Linked DNA regions of Daphnia pulex. Each later gene encodes a partner of the first gene's protein in a complex. Links are inferred from orthologs where the notes say so. Each region holds a gene or a part of one and is shown in the gene's direction. Other genes may lie near its edges.

Region 1 (7,031 bases):
CCCCACTCTGCCACCCACCGTAGTTAGCGATAGTTGTGCTGTTCCTACAAGTAATTAGTCATTTTTTCTACAATCTATTTATTATATATAAATGATTATTAAAACTAAAATTTTCTGCATAGGTGATTCAGTTTGTGAGGTAGGAGATGCTAACTCTCCGGCCCCACCGTCCACCCCTGCACCGACTACACCAGGGCCACGTCAGTCGGGCAGTCTTGTTACACATCACGATGACGTTGTAACACGAATGAAAAATATTCAAATGATTGAACTCGGCAGACACAGAATAAAACCTTGGTATTTCGCACCCTACCCTCAGGTATGTCATCATCTAACGAACGTAAAGATCCGAAATGTTTACTATTCTTTTTCAAAAATTAGGAAATGGTTCACCAAGCTTGTATTTACATATGCGAGTTTTGTCTCAAGTACCGGAAAAGTGAAAAATGTCTAGAACGTCATCTGGTAATTTAAAATTTTACGATATATTTTTAATTGGATGATCAACCCTTAAACTTTTTCTACAGATGAAGTGCAATCTTAGACATCCGCCAGGCAATGAAGTTTACCGCAAACAGACAATTTCTTTTTTTGAAATCGACGGCCGTAAAAATAAAGCATACGCTCAGAACCTATGCCTGCTAGCGAAACTGTTCCTTGATCACAAGACACTGTATTACGACACTGATCCGTTCCTCTTTTACGTCATGACTGAAGTGGATGCACGAGGTTTTCATATCGTCGGCTACTTTAGCAAAGAGAAAGAAAGCTCGGAGGACTACAATGTCGCCTGCATCTTAACATTACCACCCTATCAACGGAAAGGATATGGAAAACTTCTTATTGAATTCAGTGCGTACAGAATCGTAAACCCAAGGGGAAATATTTTTTTAAAACCATTTTTGTTTACGTAAAGGTTACGAGCTGTCCAAGTTCGAAGGCAAAACGGGCTCGCCAGAAAAACCTCTGTCCGATTTAGGGTTGCTGTCTTATCGCAGTTACTGGGCTTTTACAATCTGTGATATTCTGATGAATATGAAACCATCCAGTGAAGGTGAACGTCCTCAAATTACCATCAAGTAAGTGATGTAAATTACTTCATTCTAGAGCTCACGTTGACAAACGAATTCGTTTTAATTTAAATAGCGAAATTTGCGAAATGACGAGCATTAAAAAAGAGGACGTGGTGTCCACCTTACAGCATTTGAACCTCATCAATTACTACAAGGGGCAGTACGTACTCATTCTGAACGAAGAAGCGATGAAAAATTGCATAAAAAACAAAGAGAAATGGAAATTACACATCGATCCCAAATGCTTGCACTGGACACCGAAAGACTGGTCCAAAAGAGGGAAATGGTGATGAGATCGCACCTACAATCCATTCCGCGATCTTGCTACTTCTTTGCTTTTTTTTAAAAAATACACTCACAATTTCTATGTACAAGAATTCCAAATTCAAATGTCCTGTTTCTCTTGGTTATTCTTGTCTGTTACGACAACAGCTTCACGGTTCTCGTATGTCCAAAATCCATCCAAATCAATCAAGATATTGATCACAGTTTCACCGTATCCACTGAGCCAGAAAACGTTCAATGACAATCTTATTCTAAAAAAATTCTAAATGAACTTTGTGTGTTACCAGTTAATCAAATCATGTAAAGTGATTTTTGACGGATCGGCAGGACGCACCATATCGAAAATCTCATCATTGACGTCGTCAAAAGCAACGACTTCTTGTTTGTGCTGCTGCATCAACTCTTGAACCCCCTGCAAAGCATTTTTTTTTTTTTCAAGATAAGAAAGTCAAAAGGTCAAATGAGGAAATTAATACTTTGAAGTAAAAATGGAGGTCAAAAGTGTTGAGATGGTTTCGATGATTGACGTCCAACAAACGGAAAAAATACTGAAGTGCTTGTGGTTCCTTTTTATTGTCCATGGCCAATACGAAATCCAAGTACGTTTTATAATCCATTTCTTTCTCATAGGTCATGCACTCCTCGAATACTCGTTGAATGAAAACTCGCGTCAACGTGCCAGTTCCGAATCTGAAAATTAAATTTAAAAAAAATCTTAAATGTACGTACTGCAAATTGAAATATGGTAAATTACCGTCTGAGCTCTTCCTGACAAAGCATGCCGTTTCTGTTGGTATCTAAATTTAAGTATTGACCGTAGACTCTCAGAGCGGAGGGCGCAGAAAACCAGTTTGAATCCTGTGCATCTTTGGGCAGCTCTTCATCCCGTAGCTGATGAATTATAATATTTTTAGCGAGAAGAATGACAAAAGAATCAGGAATATACTAAATACCTCTAAAAGTTCGTCCAGAAAACCAGAAGCGAGAATATCCTGTATCCTGACTTTGCCTAGCTTTAATGGATCTAGGAAAAAGAGGAACTTGCGTACGGCGGTACAGACGTAAAACGAATGGAATGACTTTTCAAGCCCTTCTAACTGTGGCAATGTTGGGATAAGTTCAGTTATGTAGTTCTCTAAATCCTGGGAAAAACAAAAATAGATAAGTAAATTACATATTGCAAAAACAAAAAACATATTGCTGATGTTCACCATTTCAGTAAGCAGACCTTGTCCTGTGGCATCATATAATGAAAGACCAATTCTAGTTTGCTGTAACCAAACTTTCCTCATGATGTAATTGAACACTGCCATGGTTGATATTCTGCCATGAATATCATTCTGCAATAGCCTTGCAAATACATCTGGTGTAAAGAATGCTCTGTATAGGGGAATTCAAAAAATAACTTGGTGTTCCCAATCAAATATTTACATGTCTTACTTATATTTTGGACCAGCTATGTTGCCTACTTTGAGAAAATCAATATAATTGATCATCTGCTCAGAACCAGCAGGAGGGCTGTGATTTTTGTCAAGTAAAGTCCAGAGATTCTAAAGACAGGATGAAAATCTTATTTACCAGTAGCACAAACACTGGCAATGACATTAACAAACCTGCAGTTCATTGTTATCGAGGAGTTCTTTGCTCTTCTTCTGAAGGAATGCTGTTCTAGCTTCTTCTCTCAGTTTAAGGCTAATCATGTTTTCATGATTAGGAAGCTGTGTAACAAAAACATAAGAAATTTATAGGGAATCAATTGGAAGTTATGCTTACTTTGGTATAGAACTTTGGAACTGGCATGCTTTCTTCCGAGCATTGCTTGCTATATTTGAGACCTTCGGAATACAACTTTTGGAAGGTATCTTCATCTTCGGCGTTTAAAACCAAAATCTCGGATTTTTCATCCATCTCGTTGATGAAAATCAACGAATACTGAGACTTAGGCCGCTAATAAAAACGTTTCTTGTTCATTCGATTCAAACGTGTCGAAACGATAACAAACGGCTTTACTTTTAGCAGAAAGAATGTTTTTTTCGACCGCTAGATGCTATGCTTAGCCAAAATCACGCTTCGTGGCGCTGCCATCGGGGGCATTTCGATATATATTGCCGCGTCAGTCTTAGTTTTCATGTCGGCTTCCTGTTGAACGAAGCCCTCCCGGAATTGAAATCAAATAAAATTCAATTTCGTTAAAGAATGGCCGCCAATCAGGCACTCGTGGTATTTATTTACCTTTTACTTTATGATAATATTTCATGGGGAATAGTACCTGGAAACTGTTGTTGCATTGACGATTCCACTCCACGAGCTCGATCTCACTCCTCGTTGGTCTAATTAAGGACTTTTATATTTCTTTTTTTGTAGTCGAAACTGTATCGTGGCGTTATTGAAGATGTTATCAACGGGGTTCGAGAGGCGTTTCTTGACGAAGGAATCGATGAGGCTGTACTTCTCGAATTGAAGCAGAATTGGGAAAACAAATTGCAGTCCAGCAAAGCAATCGACCCTGTGACCGATCCTGCTGAAACTTCTCTCCAAAGCAAACTGCAACAAAGTATCCAATATCGATTATGAGACTTTATCATGTATGAAAAAAGGGTCTTCTTTGCCGTCAAAAGCAGGTCAGCAGGCTAGCTCTACAGCTCCTGCGAACAATTCTACACCTCAACAGGCAGCCACTACGGCAAAGCAACCAGGTAGTTGGGTATACTGTTACATTGAGTGCATTATTATTAATTGTTTTGTTTGTTTGTTTTTATTTTCTCTAAAGCAGCAGCAGCAGCCCAAACCCCAGTGACTACCCCTAATGCAGCTACAGGTGCAGCAACAACAGCAGCAGCTGCAGCCCCTGCTACGACAACAGTAAGGACGGTGCCAGTCCAAATCACTGTTCCTCCTCAGGCTGGAGTAGCAGGTCATACAGCAGCCAAGAGCATCACTGTTCACGTTCCAGCTCATGCTCTTCAAGGTTATTTCCCAATTGAATCTCGTTCGTACTAGCTCCAATCTAATTTCTTTACTATTTGTAATAATGTCACAGGTGGCGCAGCGGGAGCGCAGCTGCAAACGATCCTGAGTTCACCGGCTGTGACGGCGGCTCTCTCTCTTCCAGTTGAAATGGCCACGACTGTCTTGCAGCAGCACATTAATAACGCGTTGCAGGTACCATTGGTTGAAATTGAATCCACTCGAAAGTGTATATAATAATGTGTGTACAATGCATTATTACTTTTCTTTGTAGTCGACAGCTGCACGGAGCCAATCGCGAACTGACAATGGAGGAGTCACACAGTTGGATGGACCCGGAGACTCTTCGGACGACGACGACGATGTTGAAGATGATGACGATGACGACGTGGAAGAAGAGGACGATCATGACGACGAGGAGATTGACGCAGACAACGAAGAGAACGCAGACGAGGAGCCACTCAACTCTGAAGACGATGTGACTGATGATGATCCCTCAGTGTTATTTGAAACTGATAACGTCGTCGTGTGCCAGTACGACAAGGCAAGGATTTGAATTTTAGCATTCGAATTGGAATTGAAATGTTTTAAATGACTTTTTTTTCTATTTGTAGATTACGAGAAGTCGAAACAGGTGGAAGTTTCATCTCAAGGACGGCATCATGAACATTAACGGTCGCGATTACGTCTTTCAAAAGGCCAACGGTGATGCAGAGTGGTGAAAATATTCAAGGTTGAAATTGCGCTACTAGGGGAAAATCAAGATAATGTTTCATTTAATACAATCCGGAGGAATTTCGCTTTCAATTTAAGGATTTTTCGTGTGCCTGTGCGTGTGCATGTGCGGAATTTCTTTTTTCATGTCGGGTGTTGGATGAGCGGTGGAGAGGAAAAAATACCTGGGGACAAAGAAACAAAAGCCATTCGTGTTTGTCCTCCCTCGCTTCTTTTGTTTCGTTTCTCTTTTTTTGTTAACACACAAAACTTTCCGAATTCTTTTTTTGTCTCATCTTTTCCCTGTTCGCTGCAGAAGCTGTTGTCGCCCCCTTTTGATTCAGGAATATTTAGAAGAAGAAGAAAAATATATGTTCAAATTACCAAGAATTGCAATTAGTTTTCGAGAAGATTCTAATAACGTGACCCAAAACTAGTCCAAGACCCAGGGGACAATGTTACTAATTACGGTACCGAAAAATTCTTGTAATCGTATACAGTTGGTGGTGGACATTTTCAATGTTAGTCGGAAGAAATCTAGATTAGGTTGTATACATGGGAAGTCATTCAGGCGAGCGTACGGGGACTTGAAAGCAAATAACCAAGTGGTCAAAAGCTTACATCCGTTTGCAGTCATCACCGGGGAATTGCTCATCCAACTATTGGATTCGGTACACGTTAATGGAGTTTCTACACGATAGCAGCGCGGTAGGAGTTGTTGGCGTCCGCCAAAAAGTTTCCTAGAGCCGTTAAAAGGCAACCAGCACAAAACTAAACGAACTTTGCTGTTGCCAGGACCTTAGGATTCGACCTGCTGGACTCATTATCAAAACTAAAAAAAAAACGAGGGGAAAAGTTTCAACAAGGACGGACTGGGGCGTTCTTCCATCTGCTTATCATGAAAATAAATTCAAAAATTTCTTTTTGAAATGGTTGATGTCACAGGGGAGGACATGTTTCATGTGAATGATATGACATGAACTAGTGAAATGTTTACAGTATATTCAGGATGGCTTTTAATCGCGTGTCACAACATCCGTTCCTAATGAGCGCTCCCAGTCGTTGGGGGGCTGCTGCTGCTGCCTGTAGCTAGCCGGATGGATGGTTCCATGTTTTTCAAGTGGTGACGACAAAAGACGGCCAACCAGTCACGCACATGCTTAAAACACATGCCGAAATGTAACTTTGTTCACGTATACCCCAGCAATTGGAAGGACCCTGTAAACTATAAAAATCATGGAAATAATTTGGTTAAAATAATGACTATTATTTAATGTGATGATGGAAGAACCTAAGTCATTAATTAGAACAAGTAGACCTACTCACCAGTTTTACAAAAAACCATTTCACGTCGCTATGGTGATCGTCCGTGCGTGTATAATTAGACAATTAATTGCCTTTGATTCCATGAAATCTAAATCAGGTCATATAGTTCCGATTTGACACGAAAAGTTGAGTCAATTATATCGCACGAAAAAATGGTTTTAAAAACATACAATCAGTCAAGTTACAGTGGCAACTTTGGTCGAAAGTTCGCATCTCTTAAATGTGAAACTTTAAAAGTGAAAAGTCCAATTAATCTTATAATTAAATGATTCCACCATGTCACACTTAGAATTCACCCTTTATTCGTCGAGCCATTGTTTAAGTGCATGTTAAAAACAACAGCAGTATCCTATAAGCACATGAGAAAACAACACAACTTTTTTGAAGGGCGTAATAGCTTTTAGTCATTTTCGGGAGAACGAATCTAAATATTTTCACTGGATGGAAAAAGTTTTTGGGAATTAAACAGCTTGACGTTGTTGAGTTATTCGCTTATGCGATGACAGCGGATCCCTCGAGTGTTATCCCAAGACTATATAAATAACCTCCATCGTTATTACGATGCCTATCATCTTAGGGCTTCAATTAAGATCCTCCGTATAATGGGATTAAAACGAGTTTTGTATTTCGAATTCATTGGATGATGACCTTTTTAAAAATAGGGTG
Region 2 (6,522 bases), on another chromosome or scaffold:
TAATCGATAACAATCTCAACATCAAGGAAGTGACGCTGGATGACGGCGGACTCTACGTCTGCAGAGCTACGCAGTCCAATCCGATGATTGCCGACTTCAGGGAGATGAACATCACTTTGAAAATTCAACGTGAGTCTCTTTTTCAGCTCCCGCGTTATTGATTTTTCTTCCTTCTTTCATTCAATTTTATTTTTCTTTCGTGTCGTGTCGTGCAGACGAACCACGTTGGTTCAAGGATCACACCAAAGAAGCTTATGGTTTTATTGGCGGCACTGTCAACATGACGTGCTCGGCCGTGGCCGAGCCCGGCGCCGATTTCATTTGGATCAAGGACAACAAGACGCTGCATCCCAGCGACGACGTCCAGATCTTCAATTCGGATCATCACAGCTCGCTCCAACTTTACATTTACGACGAGTCCGTCTTTGGCGACTACGAGTGCCGGGCCACCAACATGCTGGGCACCATGGCCCGCGTCATCGTCCTGGAACAGGCCACCAAACCCTCAGCTCCTACTTTCAAAATCAAAGTCAGTTTCTCTCTCTACTCCGCTGCGGATCGCAGTTCAGGAATAATAATAAATAATAGTTTGACTTCCGGGAACTCTATAGAGCGGAAGGATCCAACCTAGTGTATCTGACTAATGCAATCAATATTGTGGCGTTCGTGACATCGTGACTAATGATAGCCCCTCATCCTTGATATACTTGTTTGTCATTCCGCTAGATTACACACCCGGATAGTTTCGTTTTGGAGATTGAAGAATCGGACGTGGTCTCGGATCGAGGTCAGGACGCTGGCGTCCGGAATCCAATGGACGTGACCGGCTACGTGGTGCAGTTCAAACAAGCGTCCCAGGAGTGGAGCCGGGCACAAGAAAAAGAATTCGAAAGAAGTAAGAAAAAGGCAAACTTGGAAACTGATATTATTATTCATCGTTGCACTTCCTCTCATCCGCTCAAGTCAATCCGCATAGCATTTACCATTCGTTTCTACTACATCAGCTGGGAAAAAGTTTCAGATTCTAATGCCTAAATCCGTCTGTGTGTGTTTTGTTTTTTCTTGTTTTTGTCGTTAACTTGATGACATAAAACAGTGCCCAGCCAGCCGTACAGAGTCGCCGGAATGCAGCAGGATACGACTTACGAAGTGAGGGTTGCAGCACGCACTGCGGCCGGCACCGGAGACTACGCCGACGTCCAGGTCGAGAAAACCAAGAAACTCGTAGCCGCGGCCGTGCCCGTTCTCAACTCAGCTCCGGCCCAGCAGCAGCTACTCTGTCACTCGCTCCTCACTCTATTGATCGCCGCACTGGCGTCCGCCAACATCTACATCTAAATACGAGTTACCATTTTTTTATTTTATTTTATTTTATTTCTTATTCTAGAAATATTTCAAAAGATAAAAGGGAAAATTCTCCTTCGCAACCGTTGCCCAGCCCCCCAGCTATACATACAAAAGCCGTTCTTATCAATTCGAATTTACTTTCTTTCTTTTTTCCAAGTAAAACAAAATAACGGAGGGAATTAAGTTTAAACTCTTTTTTTTCTATCATGAGGAGTTTTGAGTTTGAGGACTCCATTTTATTCCCCCGACTCATTTTTTTTTACTCGTCACACATCTCTCTCAATCAGTTTGTAAAGAAAATTAAAATAAAAATAATAAAAATAAAAACAAAAAAAATCAAATTAAGGGAGGCCAGCGCTGATATAAGTTTTTTCAAACAAAATAAAAAGCCGAATTTTTAAAAATTTTAATTTTGATTCATATATTTCTTTCATTGGGGCCTGATAAGATTTTTTTTTAAAGATGATAGTAATCTTTTTGTACATATTTTTTCTTTTCCTCTTATATAATAACCCTCGGTTCCAGAAATATTGTGCGCTAATTAGAATAATATTGAGTGGCCGTTCTCTCATCCTCCCCCTTATACCAGTTCCTCCAACTTTATATCTCTATGGCTTTACGTGTGTGTTTAGCATTTCCTTCGAGAAGCCCCCCAGGTAGACACCTATAAACTAAGTATATCGAATGGCAAGGATTTAGCAGCTCCTACTCTCTACCTTTGCCCCAATCGTCCCTCCTCAGCTCAGTCCTTAATATTACATGGCTTTTGACGCGTTTGATGACATAATCTTTGGTTTTTGTATTTTAAAAAGTCAAAGTTTACTGGTGTGTTGGGGGGGGGGGAATATACAGCGGGGGATGTACAATGTTCAAATTACTTTTGATCCCTCGACTCTGTTCGCTTTCCTTTTTTATTCTACGATGAAAATTGATCCCGTTTCGTAGATTTTGAATGATAATTTGAATTCAAAAACTGGACGGCAAGAAACGATATGATTACCTTCGAGTATTGGTTTCCTTCATTTTTCTTTTTCAAGTGAAAAAGAACCGACGTCGATGTGCATAATGCATACAATTTGCATACGGTATTGAAAAAAACAAACAGATACTCATTTGGTATAAATTTAGATTTTTCTTTCTTTTTTTTGAGAAAGAGAGATTGCGGAATTTTGCATTATCCTTACGTAACCTTGGGTTTTTTTAAATTTATGTACATGTCAAAAAATTTCTTTTTTTATGTTTCCTTATATTTCCCACACTTCCGGCTGTACACCACATTTTGATAAAAATAACTTTGGGTTCTCATCATTTAATTATTATGATATGCGTGTAGTTTTTATTTTTTCATTTTTTTTATTTTAATATCATTAGCTGTGTAATATTTCCGTGATGCCAAACATACAACTGTCATCTAGAATGAGATTTTTATTCGTTGATTGAAAAAAAAAAAATTCTTTCTAAACAGTTAACCGCGTTTAGCCAAAGTTTCTTCCAGATTGGGACCCGCGCAATTGGAATGTCGTAATATTGGGTGACGTGTCATCAGATCCTCAATCCATCATGGCGAACTTCCTGTACTTCCTTCGATACCGGTAACTTTTTGGACCTTGGATCGGACGATTCGTTTGACGCCATTTCGTCGCACCTGAACCGAAAAGAATTTCACAAGTTAAAAATCTGAAGAAAGCCAAGTTATGATATCTAAATATAAACAATAACTATTTCAACACTGTATTCAAAAAGTGAATTGCACTTCAAAATAAATATGAACAGTCTGGTGAGTCAATTTACGTTGGTTAAGCCGTTAAAAGCGGCGCACATTCTGATGCGCGATAGGAGAGGAAAACAAAACATGGTTTATATTTCCCAATATTTAGTCGAAACAATTTCTAAATAATGGAAACGGTGTATCGAATTCTTTCATCAAAAAATAAATCTACAAACCAATAATACGCAATCAACATCTTCAACATTAAACTTCCAAAATTTTAGAAAAAATTTCAATTTTTAGAAAAATGAAATTTTCCCGCACAGCCTTCGTAATACCTGCCATCTGGTGACAGAATAAGGAGGTTCTTGTACACGACTCATTGTTTGGGCTAGCTTGTTGCAGACTTGCAGAAGGAAGCGAGAGTCGAAACGAGAAGCCGGCAAGTAATTATTCTTAACGTTTGTTGTTTTGAATAATACAACTTACTTAAGAATGCCCTACGCCAATCAACCAAATCTCAAATTGACCGAACTAACAGAGGAAAATGTTAAATTTCAGATTTCAGACACAGACCTTAGGTATTTACTTAAATTGTTGGTAATGAGAACATTTATATCATGCCTTTATCACATTTCAGTGTAGCAAACTCTCTGAGGCGAGTCTTCATTGCTGAAACCCCTACATTAGCCATTGATTGGGTCCAGTTTGAAGCAAATTCCACTGTCTTGTTTGATGAATTTTTGGCACATCGTGTGGGTCTTATTCCACTGACTAGTGATGACTCTGTTGAAAAGATGCAGTATTCCAGAGACTGCACTTGTCCAGATTTCTGTGTTGATTGCTCAGTGGAGTTCACTTTGGATGTTAAATGTTCTGAGGATGTTACACGCAATGTCACCACTGCTGATCTAAAGAGTACTGATCCAAGAGTGGTTCCAGCTACCTCCAAACGGGATGAAGAGCCACCAGATGACAATGATAATGGTACTGCAGAACATTTCTAAAGTTTGGAATCTGAGTTTGATTATAAATTTTTTTGTTTGTTTTAGAAATTTTAATTGTCAAGCTTCGTAAAGGACAAGAACTCAAAATGCGGGCATATGCCAAGAAAGGTAAATTTTGTTGCAGTTCAATTTGTTTCTCCTTCTTGAAAATATATATTTTTTTTTAGGTTTTGGTAAAGAACATGCAAAATGGAATCCAACAGCTGGAGTGGCCTTTGAGTACGACCCTGATAATTCATTGAGGCATACTTTGTTCCCGAAACCTGAAGAATGGCCAAGGAGTGAATATTCGGAGCTGGGCGAATCAGATCAACGTAATTTTTAAACGAATTTTTATGGTTTAACTAGTTTTATTTGAATTTTTATTTATTTATTTTTAGATGAAGCCCCATACGATCCTGATGGCAAACCTAACAAATTTTTTGTTAACGTGGAATCTTGTGGATCTTTACGACCAGAAAATATTGTCTTAATGGGAATCGCTATTCTCAAGAAGAAACTTTCTGATTTGCAGACCCAATTGAGCCACGAAGTGCAAAACGATGCCCTCGCCATCAACTGATTTTCCATTTTGTTCGAAATAATTGTAATGGTTTTGTATTAATGCAATTAATACACGAAGAATTAAGTAAAGCCGAATATCATCAAACTTATTTAATTTGTCTTATAAGATCTCAGGTGGACATGGAGTAAAAAAGGAACTTATGTAGCACAGCAAAATATGGTGAATATGAAAAATACATTGGTGATCTATAATACTGCAAGAATTCTAGTGAAGCCAAAACAAGCACTGCAGAATGTTTGTCCCACACCCCAAAGTGCAACATGCCATCTAGCCATGACTAGTCCTGAGTTTTCATACACAAATGACACAACTGCGCTTGTCACTGCACCTGTTGTTAGAGGTGTGATAATTCCCATCAAAAGAATTATGATGGAGTAAAACCTATTGCCAAAAGATTATATTTAGTTGTAACAGAATATGTGGAATGCTTAGGTATATTTTACCTTCCAACTGCATGCTTCCTTAATGTCAGAAATGCAATTATGGCAGCAACGGAATGAATGAAGATGGAAGAAAACATTGCCCACAAGAAAACGTTGTACCACATTTCTAGATGTATTGGGCATTGAATATTTTTATTATAGGTAACATGTTTCCTCTAAATTTAATATGTGGGTGAAAAAAAAATAATACCAAAGAACTCTTCAAGAGGAGCATTTGGTTTGTTCCAGATTTTTTCGAGGATGAAATCCATGTTAGAACTAGTTGACTGCGAGCCATCAGCAGATATTGGTGTTTGAATCATAGTGAGCTGCATTTTGCTATGCAGTGTTATCGCTCAGAACGATATCTGTCGCAGTGTTGTAAATCAGTTTGCTAATAGCAAGATAAAGAATAATTGATGGATGATAGCTTACAACGGAGCACGCGTAAAATAGACACCCAATAGCTGGGAAGCTGACTATCTTACGAAATTAAATTATACATGTTCTGTTTTGTAGATTAGTCATTATTGTTTACTTATTGTAACAACTTGGTACGCTACACATTGTAACACGATTCTATGAAAATGTAAATAAAGGCAGATAAGGTGGCTACTGGCTAGCAAAACCTGGTGGTGAAAATAGTTAGCTCTTGCTTCGTTTATCGTGAGGGAATCTTTTGGCTGTCGGTAGGTGGCTAAAATGGATTTCCCCCATCCACCAGGTGGCGCGAGTGTCTTCGTGAGGACGAAATATTTGTCATTTGTTTCCGAGACGCTGACCAAAAGTGTATTCCAAATTCATAACGTAATTACAGTGTCAATCTTCATTTTCAGCCATGAAATTTTATCTATGACGTTTCTGTCTGAATTTACAGGCAATTTTGGCATATAGTTTCACTTGGCCAAATAATGTAACGACGTGGGTCGAAACTGTTGTCCATTTTGTCGAAATGTCGGTCATTGTTAGCTGTACGTCTCATCTCGTGCAGAAACACTTCAGAGCTAGTAAAGTAAATTTTGTTGATCAATTTCTCTGCAATAATGCAATAGGTTTTATTAGTTGATTTTTCAGATCAGAGATGGAGATCACTTTGCTCAACTGTTGTAGAAGTTGAGAACATGACAAAGTCTGAGCTTCATGGCAGTCATATCATTAATTTTGTTTTTGTTGCAGCCAGCTGGGGAAAGGTGTGGTCGAGTCCTGTTGAGCTGCAGGTGCTGCATGCAGTTTATCAAGCTGGTGTTATCCCATCCCTAGTGTTACTGCAGGAAAACTTCTTGAATTGGTAATTTGATTGATATTATTGGTTGTAACTTGGGAAGTCTTGAGTTTTTTTTTTTTTTTTTTTTAATTTTGATTGAACTGACAAGTTATGTGATGAAGAAAATTAAGGGTAACATTTTTTTCTTCCAAATAATTGTTTCTTCAAAAGGAAGCTACATTGTTGGTCAGCTTTCAGCCTTTCACTGA

Evidence for each region. Proteins that work in one complex are often made in the same cells at the same time.
Region 2: transcription initiation factor IIA subunit 1-like (region 1) and DNA-directed RNA polymerase II subunit RPB3-like share a complex: the UniProt entries of both Homo sapiens proteins name them as parts of the TBP-based Pol II pre-initiation complex. The link is inferred for Daphnia pulex from reciprocal best matches to the Homo sapiens genes GTF2A1 and POLR2C.

What each region holds. Positions count from the first base shown.
Region 1 is NC_060018.1:12,588,259-12,595,289, forward strand, and holds transcription initiation factor IIA subunit 1-like, read left to right. Parts: upstream 1-3,431; 5' UTR 3,432-3,554; coding exon 3,555-3,578; intron 3,579-3,722; coding exon 3,723-3,912; intron 3,913-3,955; coding exon 3,956-4,054; intron 4,055-4,125; coding exon 4,126-4,326; intron 4,327-4,398; coding exon 4,399-4,520; intron 4,521-4,599; coding exon 4,600-4,869; intron 4,870-4,939; coding exon 4,940-5,047; 3' UTR 5,048-5,429; downstream 5,430-7,031. Other genes in the region: histone acetyltransferase Tip60-like, read left to right, coding at 1-50, 123-319, 382-465, 528-852, 917-1,079, 1,147-1,363; serine/threonine-protein phosphatase 2A regulatory subunit B'' subunit gamma-like, read right to left, coding at 1,459-1,576, 1,643-1,770, 1,835-2,048, 2,113-2,249, 2,312-2,500, 2,570-2,738, 2,799-2,908, 2,972-3,076 and 1 more. UniProt on the Homo sapiens protein: TFIIA is a component of the transcription machinery of RNA polymerase II and plays an important role in transcriptional activation. TFIIA in a complex with TBP mediates transcriptional activity.
Region 2 is NC_060024.1:10,722,512-10,729,033, reverse strand, and holds DNA-directed RNA polymerase II subunit RPB3-like, read left to right. Parts: upstream 1-3,443; 5' UTR 3,444-3,550; coding exon 3,551-3,636; intron 3,637-3,695; coding exon 3,696-4,042; intron 4,043-4,107; coding exon 4,108-4,170; intron 4,171-4,229; coding exon 4,230-4,376; intron 4,377-4,442; coding exon 4,443-4,624; 3' UTR 4,625-4,695; downstream 4,696-6,522. Other genes in the region: neural cell adhesion molecule 1-like, read left to right, coding at 1-129, 216-529, 727-895, 1,097-1,338; transmembrane protein 170A-like, read right to left, coding at 4,813-5,008, 5,071-5,176, 5,261-5,384. UniProt on the Homo sapiens protein: Core component of RNA polymerase II (Pol II), a DNA-dependent RNA polymerase which synthesizes mRNA precursors and many functional non-coding RNAs using the four ribonucleoside triphosphates as substrates.